Linked DNA regions of Rattus norvegicus. The protein of the gene in region 2 purifies or fractionates together with the protein of the main gene of each other region. This does not show direct contact. Links are inferred from orthologs where the notes say so. Each region holds a gene or a part of one and is shown on either strand. Other genes may lie near its edges.

What was found. Proteins that work in one complex are often made in the same cells at the same time.
Region 1: the proteins of Fbxl15 (region 2) and Skp1 purify together in Homo sapiens (affinity purification with western blotting; 10 studies listed by BioGRID and IntAct, counting the BioPlex papers as one, with this or other methods). This does not show direct contact. The link is inferred for Rattus norvegicus from reciprocal best matches to the Homo sapiens genes FBXL15 and SKP1.

Annotation. Positions count from the first base shown.
Region 1 is NC_086028.1:36,901,408-36,905,707, reverse strand, and holds the start of Skp1 (S-phase kinase-associated protein 1), read right to left. Parts: upstream 2,801-4,300; 5' UTR 2,718-2,800; intron 2,680-2,717; exon of another isoform or gene 2,239-2,679; coding exon of another isoform or gene 2,233-2,238; intron 1-2,232. UniProt on the Homo sapiens protein: Essential component of the SCF (SKP1-CUL1-F-box protein) ubiquitin ligase complex, which mediates the ubiquitination of proteins involved in cell cycle progression, signal transduction and transcription.
Region 2 is NC_086019.1:255,129,791-255,133,895, reverse strand, and holds Fbxl15 (F-box/LRR-repeat protein 15), read right to left. Parts: upstream 2,743-4,105; 5' UTR 2,452-2,742; coding exon 2,399-2,451; intron 2,234-2,398; coding exon 2,080-2,233; intron 1,813-2,079; coding exon 1,307-1,812; intron 843-1,306; coding exon 653-842; 3' UTR 501-652; downstream 1-500. Other genes in the region: Cuedc2 (CUE domain-containing protein 2), read left to right, coding at 1-33, 117-263. UniProt on the Homo sapiens protein: Substrate recognition component of a SCF (SKP1-CUL1-F-box protein) E3 ubiquitin-protein ligase complex which mediates the ubiquitination and subsequent proteasomal degradation of SMURF1, thereby acting as a positive regulator of the BMP signaling pathway.

The DNA of each region.
Region 1 (4,300 bases), on a different chromosome or scaffold from region 2:
CAAGTCCAGTCTGGGTTACATAAGAATCTGTCTCAAACAAATATAAATTTAAAATAGCATGGTAATACTGTATGCCTTTAATTCCAGCACGTGGGAGTCAAGGTACAGGTGCATCTTTGTGAGTTCAAGGCCAGTGTACACAGTGAGTTCCAGAACTGTCAGGGATATACAGAGGAACCAGTCCTGTGAAGTCCAGTTTTTGGAAAGATGAGGATCATAATTTCAAGGACTGACTAGGTTACATAATGAGGTCAAGCCAGCCTTGGTGGAACTCATTAAGAGCCTGCTTAAAATGAAATATAAAAGAGGCTGGGGATACAGCTCCTGAGTGTAATGCCTAACATGTATAAAGCTCTAGTTCAATCTGCAATATTGCCCTCTCCCTCTGCCCAAAAGGTGAGACAGAGTATAAGTATTTCCACAATCCCAGCATTTTGGCAAACAGAAGCATTAGGAGTTCATGGCCATCTTCTTGATACATACAAAATAAATTTAAGGCTAGCCTAGTTTTCTTGCCCCTGTCTCAAAAACTGATCTCAACAACCCCCCCATCCAAAAATGCATCAACTGAGATAAAATATAAGTCATTAGGAAAAATATAATTTCATATATTAAAAAAATTAAGCAACTAGCTCCTAACATGACTTGAGTTTTAGGAAAAACCAAAACCAAACAAAAGCAAACCAGTATTAATACTAAAAGCTCTAAACCAGCAATTTATCATCTTCAGATTTCCCCCTCATTACTCCAAAAGAGTAATTCAAGACCTCTTTAAAATTTCATGGGGTTGGGGATTTAGCTCAGTGGTAGAGCGCTTGCCTAGCAACCGCAAGGCCCTGGGTTCGGTCCCCAGCTCCAAAAAAAAAAAAGAAAAAAAAAATTTCATAAGCAACTTTTTTTAGTAGTTTGTTTTTGAGACAGGGTTCCTCTGTGTTGCCCTAGCTGTCCTGCAACTTGCTCTGTAGCAAGGACTGGTTTTGAACTCAGCCATCAACCTGCCTCTGCCTCCAGTGCTGGGATTAAAGGTGGGCACCTGGGGTTGGGGATTTAGCTCAGCGGTAGAGCGCTTGCCTATCGAGTGCAAGGCCCTGGGTTCGGTCCCCAGCTCCGAAAAAAAGAAAAAAGAAAAAAGAAAAAAAAAAGGTGGGCACCAAAATCCCCAACTCACATGTAACTCTGCAGGTCTTATGCTTCTGAGGAATACCTGGGTGTTATAGGGTTAGCACTTAAAATAACTATTGTACCTATTTAAGGGTCAAACACTTAAGACTCGGCGTATCTCCTAAAATATTCATTCAGCTTTCTGAGACACTTGTCCCCATTCCTCAAGTAAACAATAATTGGGGGGGGGGGGGGGATAAAGCTTGTTTCACAATCATCCATGGTTGAAAAGACTCAAGAGTTCACTTTTCAACTCACAAATATGCTGCAGAACAGAGAAGCCCAGAGCAGCAGACCCTCCTTATAAGGCAACAATAAAAGTTAAAGAGACCAGCTTTTAATAGCAAAACACTATGTTCTCTTTATGGTCCCCAGCACTGTAATGATCACTCAGGAACAAGTCTATGTGGCTAATAAAGTTATTTTAAAAGACAATTCCATATTTCCTTGAAATAATTCACAATAAAGACATGCTTAGTCATAGTCAAATTTAGGTATCAGGTTACTTGCAAGAGAGCCAGGGAGGCAATCAGTTAATCTGTAATTCAATGCACTCTGTAATCCTAGACTTCACTTTTGTTGTGGTGGAATTAAGTGCAAAATTTTTAAGTAATAATGTATGAGATTTCGATTTGATATGCTTTCAAAAAACCCTTCTTTAGTTCTCTAAGCTCCTGGACTTGGAAACTAAACCACCATCCAAGTCTAGCATGAGAATTCTAGTACACTTAAAACAGACTTTAAAAACAAACCTGTTTTAAGTGACTCGAAATTCTGCCACTTGTTACTGGACTGCAGGGCAGAAGGGAGTGCATTGTTCTTTGCCACAACACAGTCTACTGTAACATTCTGATGAAAAACTGAGTCTCCAAACCTGAGGACTCCATGAAAAAGTGAGCCAAGAGGCATGTTTTAACACTATCCCTTAAAAACCCAACACCTTGGGTTTTAGCGTCAAGGGCTCCTAAAAGTCACACACCTCAGACGACAAGGTCTATTACAATAAGTTCAGAGACTGCAGGACGTGACAAAAAAAAAAAAAAAAGCGAAGAAATATCGGGAACCTGTTACCTGCATATTCGGTGGTTAAATAGGTAAGACCAGTAAGGAGCAAATGTCGCCAGATACAGGAGGAAGGGAGAGAGCTAAGTATCGAGTGGCAACGACCGCCACCACCCGGAAGGCCCGGGACCCCTACTCAAAGCCTTGCGGCCAACCCGCCCTGGAGCGCGGAGCAACAAGCCTGTCGCTAAGGCAGGCCCGGGACGAAGCCTAGGCCTTGCAGCCGCGTTCGGGGCCGACTGACGTCGCCCGCAAAAGAGCAGGCCTGCCACAGAGCTGGATACAGCAGCGAGCGAGCGCCGAAAGGATGGGCGGCCCTAGAAGGCCTGACTCGGCCGCCTCGCGCCTCCCGCGGTCCGGGGTCGGCAACGGGCCGCACAGCGCCTCAGGACACGCCAGGCCGACTCGCCGCCTCGTGCACGCCACAGCCAACCCGGGGCTCCCACCCAGCCCCTCCCTCCAGGACCTGGTCCGGCTCGCGGGCTGCTACTCACCGTGCTCGGTCTCAAGACCGCAGGCCTGAGGCTGCCGAACAGAGTTCACAACCGAATAGAAGTCTCGAGAACAAGGCCACTACAGCAGCGCCGCGCGGCGTCAGCTTTTATAGGAGCGGGAAGAGGGCACCGAGGACCCCGAGTTCGTGACGTCACACAGCCGGCCGGGCTGGCCGTTGAGAGTGCCTGACGGCATGCGGAAGGCGGGTGGCAGGTTCTGGGCGCCGCAGAGGTCTCCTGGAGAGGTGCTGAGCGGCGATGGGTGGAAGGGTGGCTGAGCAGGAGGGGGACTTCCACTTTACTCCGCCGTCCTGAACAACGCCGTGCTCTCCTTCCGTGCGGACGCCGGCACCGGCTGGGGAACCATCGCGACCCGAAGGGTCTTTCAGGCAGAGGCTGTCTTAAACTGCTTGAAAGACCCCAGTCCTGAAAAGCCTGGAAAGAACAAACCGCAAAACCGGTTGTGGGTGGGTGTGCTTTAAAGGAGTCACCTCAGCCTGACCACTGTTACTCTCCTAATAACCCAAGGAAATAAGGGTTTTTGGTTTGTTTGGTTTTTTTTTTTTTTTTCCGACCTGGAATTAAGGACTTGAACCTTACTCCACTGATAACTGAGCTTTAAAAAATTACGGATGTTGAGTCAAGGTGTCTCTAAATACTCCTGACTTGGTGCACCTGCTTAGTTTTTATTTTCTTTGCATTTTAAGACGGGGTCTCGTTTGGCACAGAGTGACTGCAAATTCATTGCGTAGACCAGGTTGGTCTAAAACTCGTGAGATTACCGGCTTTTTTTTTTCACCACATATACTCGCCTTATACTCTTTTTGTTTTGTTTTGTTTTGTTTTGAAACAGGGTCTTACTAGATAAACCAGGTTTGGAACTCGCTATTTAGACCAGGCTGGCTTTAAATTCAGATCTGTGTTTCCAATAGCTCAGCGCTGGGAGGCAGGCACCACCTTGTTGGATAATCTTAACCTTTATTTCCTACCTTTGAACTTTGAAGAGGCTTTCACACCCCAAATAGCCATTGTTGGAGTGAAGCGCCAAGCCTGGAGAGAGAAAACAGGGATGTGGAATGGAGGGTATATTCTTCGGGTAATCATGCTCTCTGCCTGTGTGTGAGGCCTGTGAGGCCCGCGCTGGGAATCCATCCAGTAGTGAACCAGGACAGTCAGCCCAACCTGAACAGACTATGCTGTATGGGCAGCTCACAGAAGGCTGTGATAAGGTCGCTAGAATGAAACAACTTTGAAGTAAAGGGAGAGGTCTGAAAGGACCCATCTGGCCTCAGCCCAGCCAGGAACTGGGCACTTGCCTGCCCTGCCCCGCTGTGTCTAGGGAGCATCACTATCCCCACCAAGGCGCCAGGCTCACCTAGCCAATGAGCACATGATGGTATTCCTGGCACCACAAAGACAAAAGACGTTTCCACACAGGGCCTCCTAAAGAAACCAGAGCCTACAGTTTCTCCAGGACAAGTCTGGGCAGAGAGGCCAAGCAATGGCTTGAATGACCAGGTCTTTGTCTGATGGCTGTGGTATCCAATGTCTGCCAGGTGCCACAGCTGATGACAGAAGATGAA
Region 2 (4,105 bases):
CAGAAGACTCACAGACCTATGGCTCCCAAGGAGGTAAGAGAGGTATGCAGTTGGGGATATGGAACGAGCGGTACCAACCCCTGGTTTTAGTCATTCGTTGCCTGATTGTCTGCCAGGCCCCCAAGAAGCTGATCCGATACATTGACAACCAAGTAGTGAGCACCAAAGGAGAGCGATTCAAAGATGTACGGAACCCCGAAACTGAGGAGATGAAGGCCACATACATCAACCTCAAGCCGGCCAGAAAGTACCGCTTCCACTGAGGCACTGGCTGGACTCTGCCAGGCATCACAGATCCCAGAAGGATGCAGAAACCTTCCCGTCCACCCTACCCCTTCTCTATGCCTTTGCTCTAGTGTTAATTTATTCTTGGAGCTTCCTTCAACAGCACAGTAAAGGTTGTCCAAGGAAGGTGTACGTTCATTCTAGTGATTTCTGCCCCAGGGCAAGAAAATACTATGTCTGTCTGACCAGCTTCACATCCCCTATGCACCATGCAAGAAGGGGTAAAAAGCTCTTTATTTGAAATTCCAGGGTGGGACAGGGCTATCCCAGGCCTCTCAACCGCAGGCCCCACAGTTCAGTTTCCCTACGGCTCAGTATCAAGCTCCATCTACACAGTCCAGCTGTGCTCCCACCCAAGGAAAGTCAGTCAGACCTGTAGGTTGACAAAGGGTGCGAAGCCAGCCATGTCCTGGAGTAGCACCAGGGCCTGGTGCAGCGGTGGCTCCACGTCGATGTCCACACCACGCTTCCGCAAGCGGCTCAGGCTGGGCTCGGCCACATGGTGGCAGTGCCGCACCCGCAGAGAGCGCAACGCCGGGCAGTACTCCGCCAGTGTCCTGAGGGAGGAGCAGGGTGATGCTAGGTGCTGAAGGCCCTCTCGCGGTCTGTCTGTAGGGCCAGCTCGCTAAACCTGCTCTGGCTCCAGCAAATTCTAGGTTTCCCTCAGCTCAGGGCCTGCTCTTTCTTACTGTCCCTATGAGAAGGGGCCAGGATGGAATTACAGACTCCAGGCCCCAGCTCATTTGGGGTTTCTGGTGCTTAGAGAATACCAACCCATAGTTCTTTCCAGTGTTTCAAGATTACCCATCCCTTTGTTGCAGAAATGCCAGAAATTAACTTTATGTGACATCTCACAGTGTGTCAATCTTGGATCAGAAGTTTTTGTTTGTTTTTAATTGTACACTTTCTAGCCTAAAAATATTCTAGAGGCCTTTCTGATGGGTCTTTGACAAGTACAACCCGCCTCCCCATCCCCATGTGACTGCCCACTTCCTACCGTACCGCCCCCATGCCCAGGCACCTGACACCGTCGCTTCCGACCCGAAGGCAGCCGGTGAGGTCTAGGTGCTCGAGTTGCGGGCAGTTTCGAGCCAACTCTTGGACCGCGGTGTCCCCCACATTGGCGTTGACTGCCAACGAGAGGCTGCGGAGGCCCGCGCCGCGTCTCTGCGCCAGGTACACGATGGCCTCGTCCTTGAGTTGACGACAGGCGGTGAGGTCTAGCTCCTCCAGAGCCGGGCAGCGGTCAGCAAGGCCACGCAGTGCCAGCCCGTCCACCCAGTCACAGTGAGCGAGCGAAATGCGCTGCAGACGCGGGCAGCCCTCAGCCAGCGCTCCGAGTGCTCGGCGACTCAGTTGGCCGCAGCCGGCCAGTGCTACGCTCCGTAGCTGTGGATTCCGTGCCAGCACCGGCACCAGGTCCTCGTCCAACAGCCATTCGTGACACGGAGCCAGCGCCAGCTCCTGCAACCCCTCAGCATCTCGCAGTAGCCGGACTAGTGCGGCCCGTGGAATCTGTGGACCCACCTGCGGGCGGGAGGCACGGAGATCAGTCTGTCCCCGGGGCCGGTCACTGCCTGGCAGCCGCCTAACTTCGGGACTTTGCCACCTGCCCTCCCCGGAGAGACACCAAGCTCCCTCCGAGTCGCCGCTCAGTACTCGCCCACCGGAGTTCTCCACGTCGCACCAGGGGTTGGAAAGGGTTTACCGCGCAGCTGGGGCTGGCCTGGAGGCGGGGCGACGGTGGTACCCACGCGGGGGCGGGGCGGGGGCGGGGTCCAGTCCCCAGCTCACCTGAGCGGCGTCAAAGCGGCGCAGCCTAGCCAGGTGCAGCTGAACGAGCGCCCGGAAGGCGCGACTGACGCGCTGCAGCCGGAGCAGCTGGCGCAGCGGGACCCAGTTCAGGACGTGCGGGAGCAGCACGTCTTCCCAGGGCAGGTCCAGGAGCCTGAAGGGAAAGCGGCGTTGACGTCCCTCGGCCGCTGTTACGTGCGAGTCCTTCTGTTATACCCCAGAGTCCCAGCTGGCAAGAGGGGTCCGGGTCCTGCCCGGGCTCAGCTGCCCTCCCGCGGGTACCTTTTTCCCCTCCCTAGGCCCCTCCAGTGCTCGGTACCTGACGGCTCCTGGTTCTTGCTCCCCTCCGGACTGCTCCATTGGTGGCTCCATCGCTGTATACTGCGCGTGCGCAGTAAGCTTTACTAGCTTTGGCCTTGAAGCGGCTGCGGCGAACCCGCCTCCTTGGTCTGAAGAGACAGACCGATTTAATCGAGTGCGGTCTCACTGAGAATCCTTATCGGGAAGCTTTCTGGATGGACCCCGAAACTGAGGCAGAACAGACCAGTGATGCACCATTAGTTGTCTTCTCAGCTACAGGGCTTGAAGCCCGAGGCTGGAGTAGCGGCGAGCGAAGACTGCTTTCGGTCTTCGTTGCGGGCCGGTAGCCGCCTCTGAGTGGTGATGGGAGGAGCAGACAAGGCCAAAGGCAGAAGGGGCGGAGCCAGGACTCCTAGGTTACCGAGTGCCTCCTCTGTCCTCTGGTCGCGTTTAAGCGACTCTGGAAAAATAAAAGGGGGAGAGACTGCCCAGACTATAACTAACTGGTATGTAGTAGGTGCTCAGTAAGCAATTACCAAAAGAGTAGATTAAGCGGGCGACACCAGGATTTTTATTATCAAGCAAACTTGTCTAAACCTATCATTCCTTGTGAATCGTGAAATGCACAATCATGACTTCCATCTCTTTCCACTTCAAGGCAGCGTAGGTCGGCTCTTTGCCCAAGAAGAAAAGACTATACAGCCAGGCTTCCTTTCCAGAAGTCCAAAATTCAAGGGAATGCATGCTCAGCGTAGCCCACTAGTCGTACTGTTTCTTGACTGGCCCTGGATTAATTGGAGGGAGAGTGACTCCCCAAAGCTCAATCATAAGACTTTCCTTTCTCTGCATCCCCAAATGCTAAGCCAAGTCCATCTCTGGGGAACCCCTGGCGTAATATTTTCCTCCAGTGTCTGATGGGGGGGGGGCACGCTGCATCCTACATGATTGCGTGCAAACATTTCAGCCGCTTCATAATGCTGCTTCCCATCCGTTGGCTTAGGGGGTTTGGATACACCAGCAAAGGTAGGAGGGTCCGTCCATTTTAAAGTCGGACAAACCGAGGCTCTGGCGAGGAAGCTCCTTAACCAGGATCAAACGAAGCAAGGATAAAGAACCCAGAAATCCTGGTTTTCCCAGAATTCCTACTACACTACTTCATTATTCAATGTAGCTAAGGCCAACCAGCACCGGAAAGAGAGAAGAGGGTGAAGGTGGATGAGGGGATTGCTTCCTCATCTCAGCCTACTTGGGGAAGGGGTAGCCTCGAAGGATCTCTGCAAGATACATGTGGGCGCGCACCACCCCCGGGCGCGCGCCTCCCCTTCCACCACCCCCCCCCCCGCTTTGTTCGCACCTCTGCGCTTGCGCATTACGACAAATCTGGCGCTGTCCCCTTCAGCACCTCGCGGAACTCGCGCCACCCCTCCCCGCGGTGAGCCCCGCGCACCCCCGCTTCGAACATCCTCGCACCCTCTAGCCACCCGAATCGACCCTCTCTTCCTTCCCAGGTCATAACCTGCGGGTCTTGGCCTTCCAAAGGAGAATAGTTACCATAGTAACTCGTGTGGCGTTTTCCTAAAATAGTCAGACCCTTTTCCACCCTGGCCAAGGGCACAAGGTTTGCCTGTGCTTCTTGTCCCAGTTTCGGGGTCATCCCTTCTAAACTCTAACCCCTGAAAAGGCAGGACGATTAACCTAGACCGCAAGGAAGTTCTTCCTGGAGTCT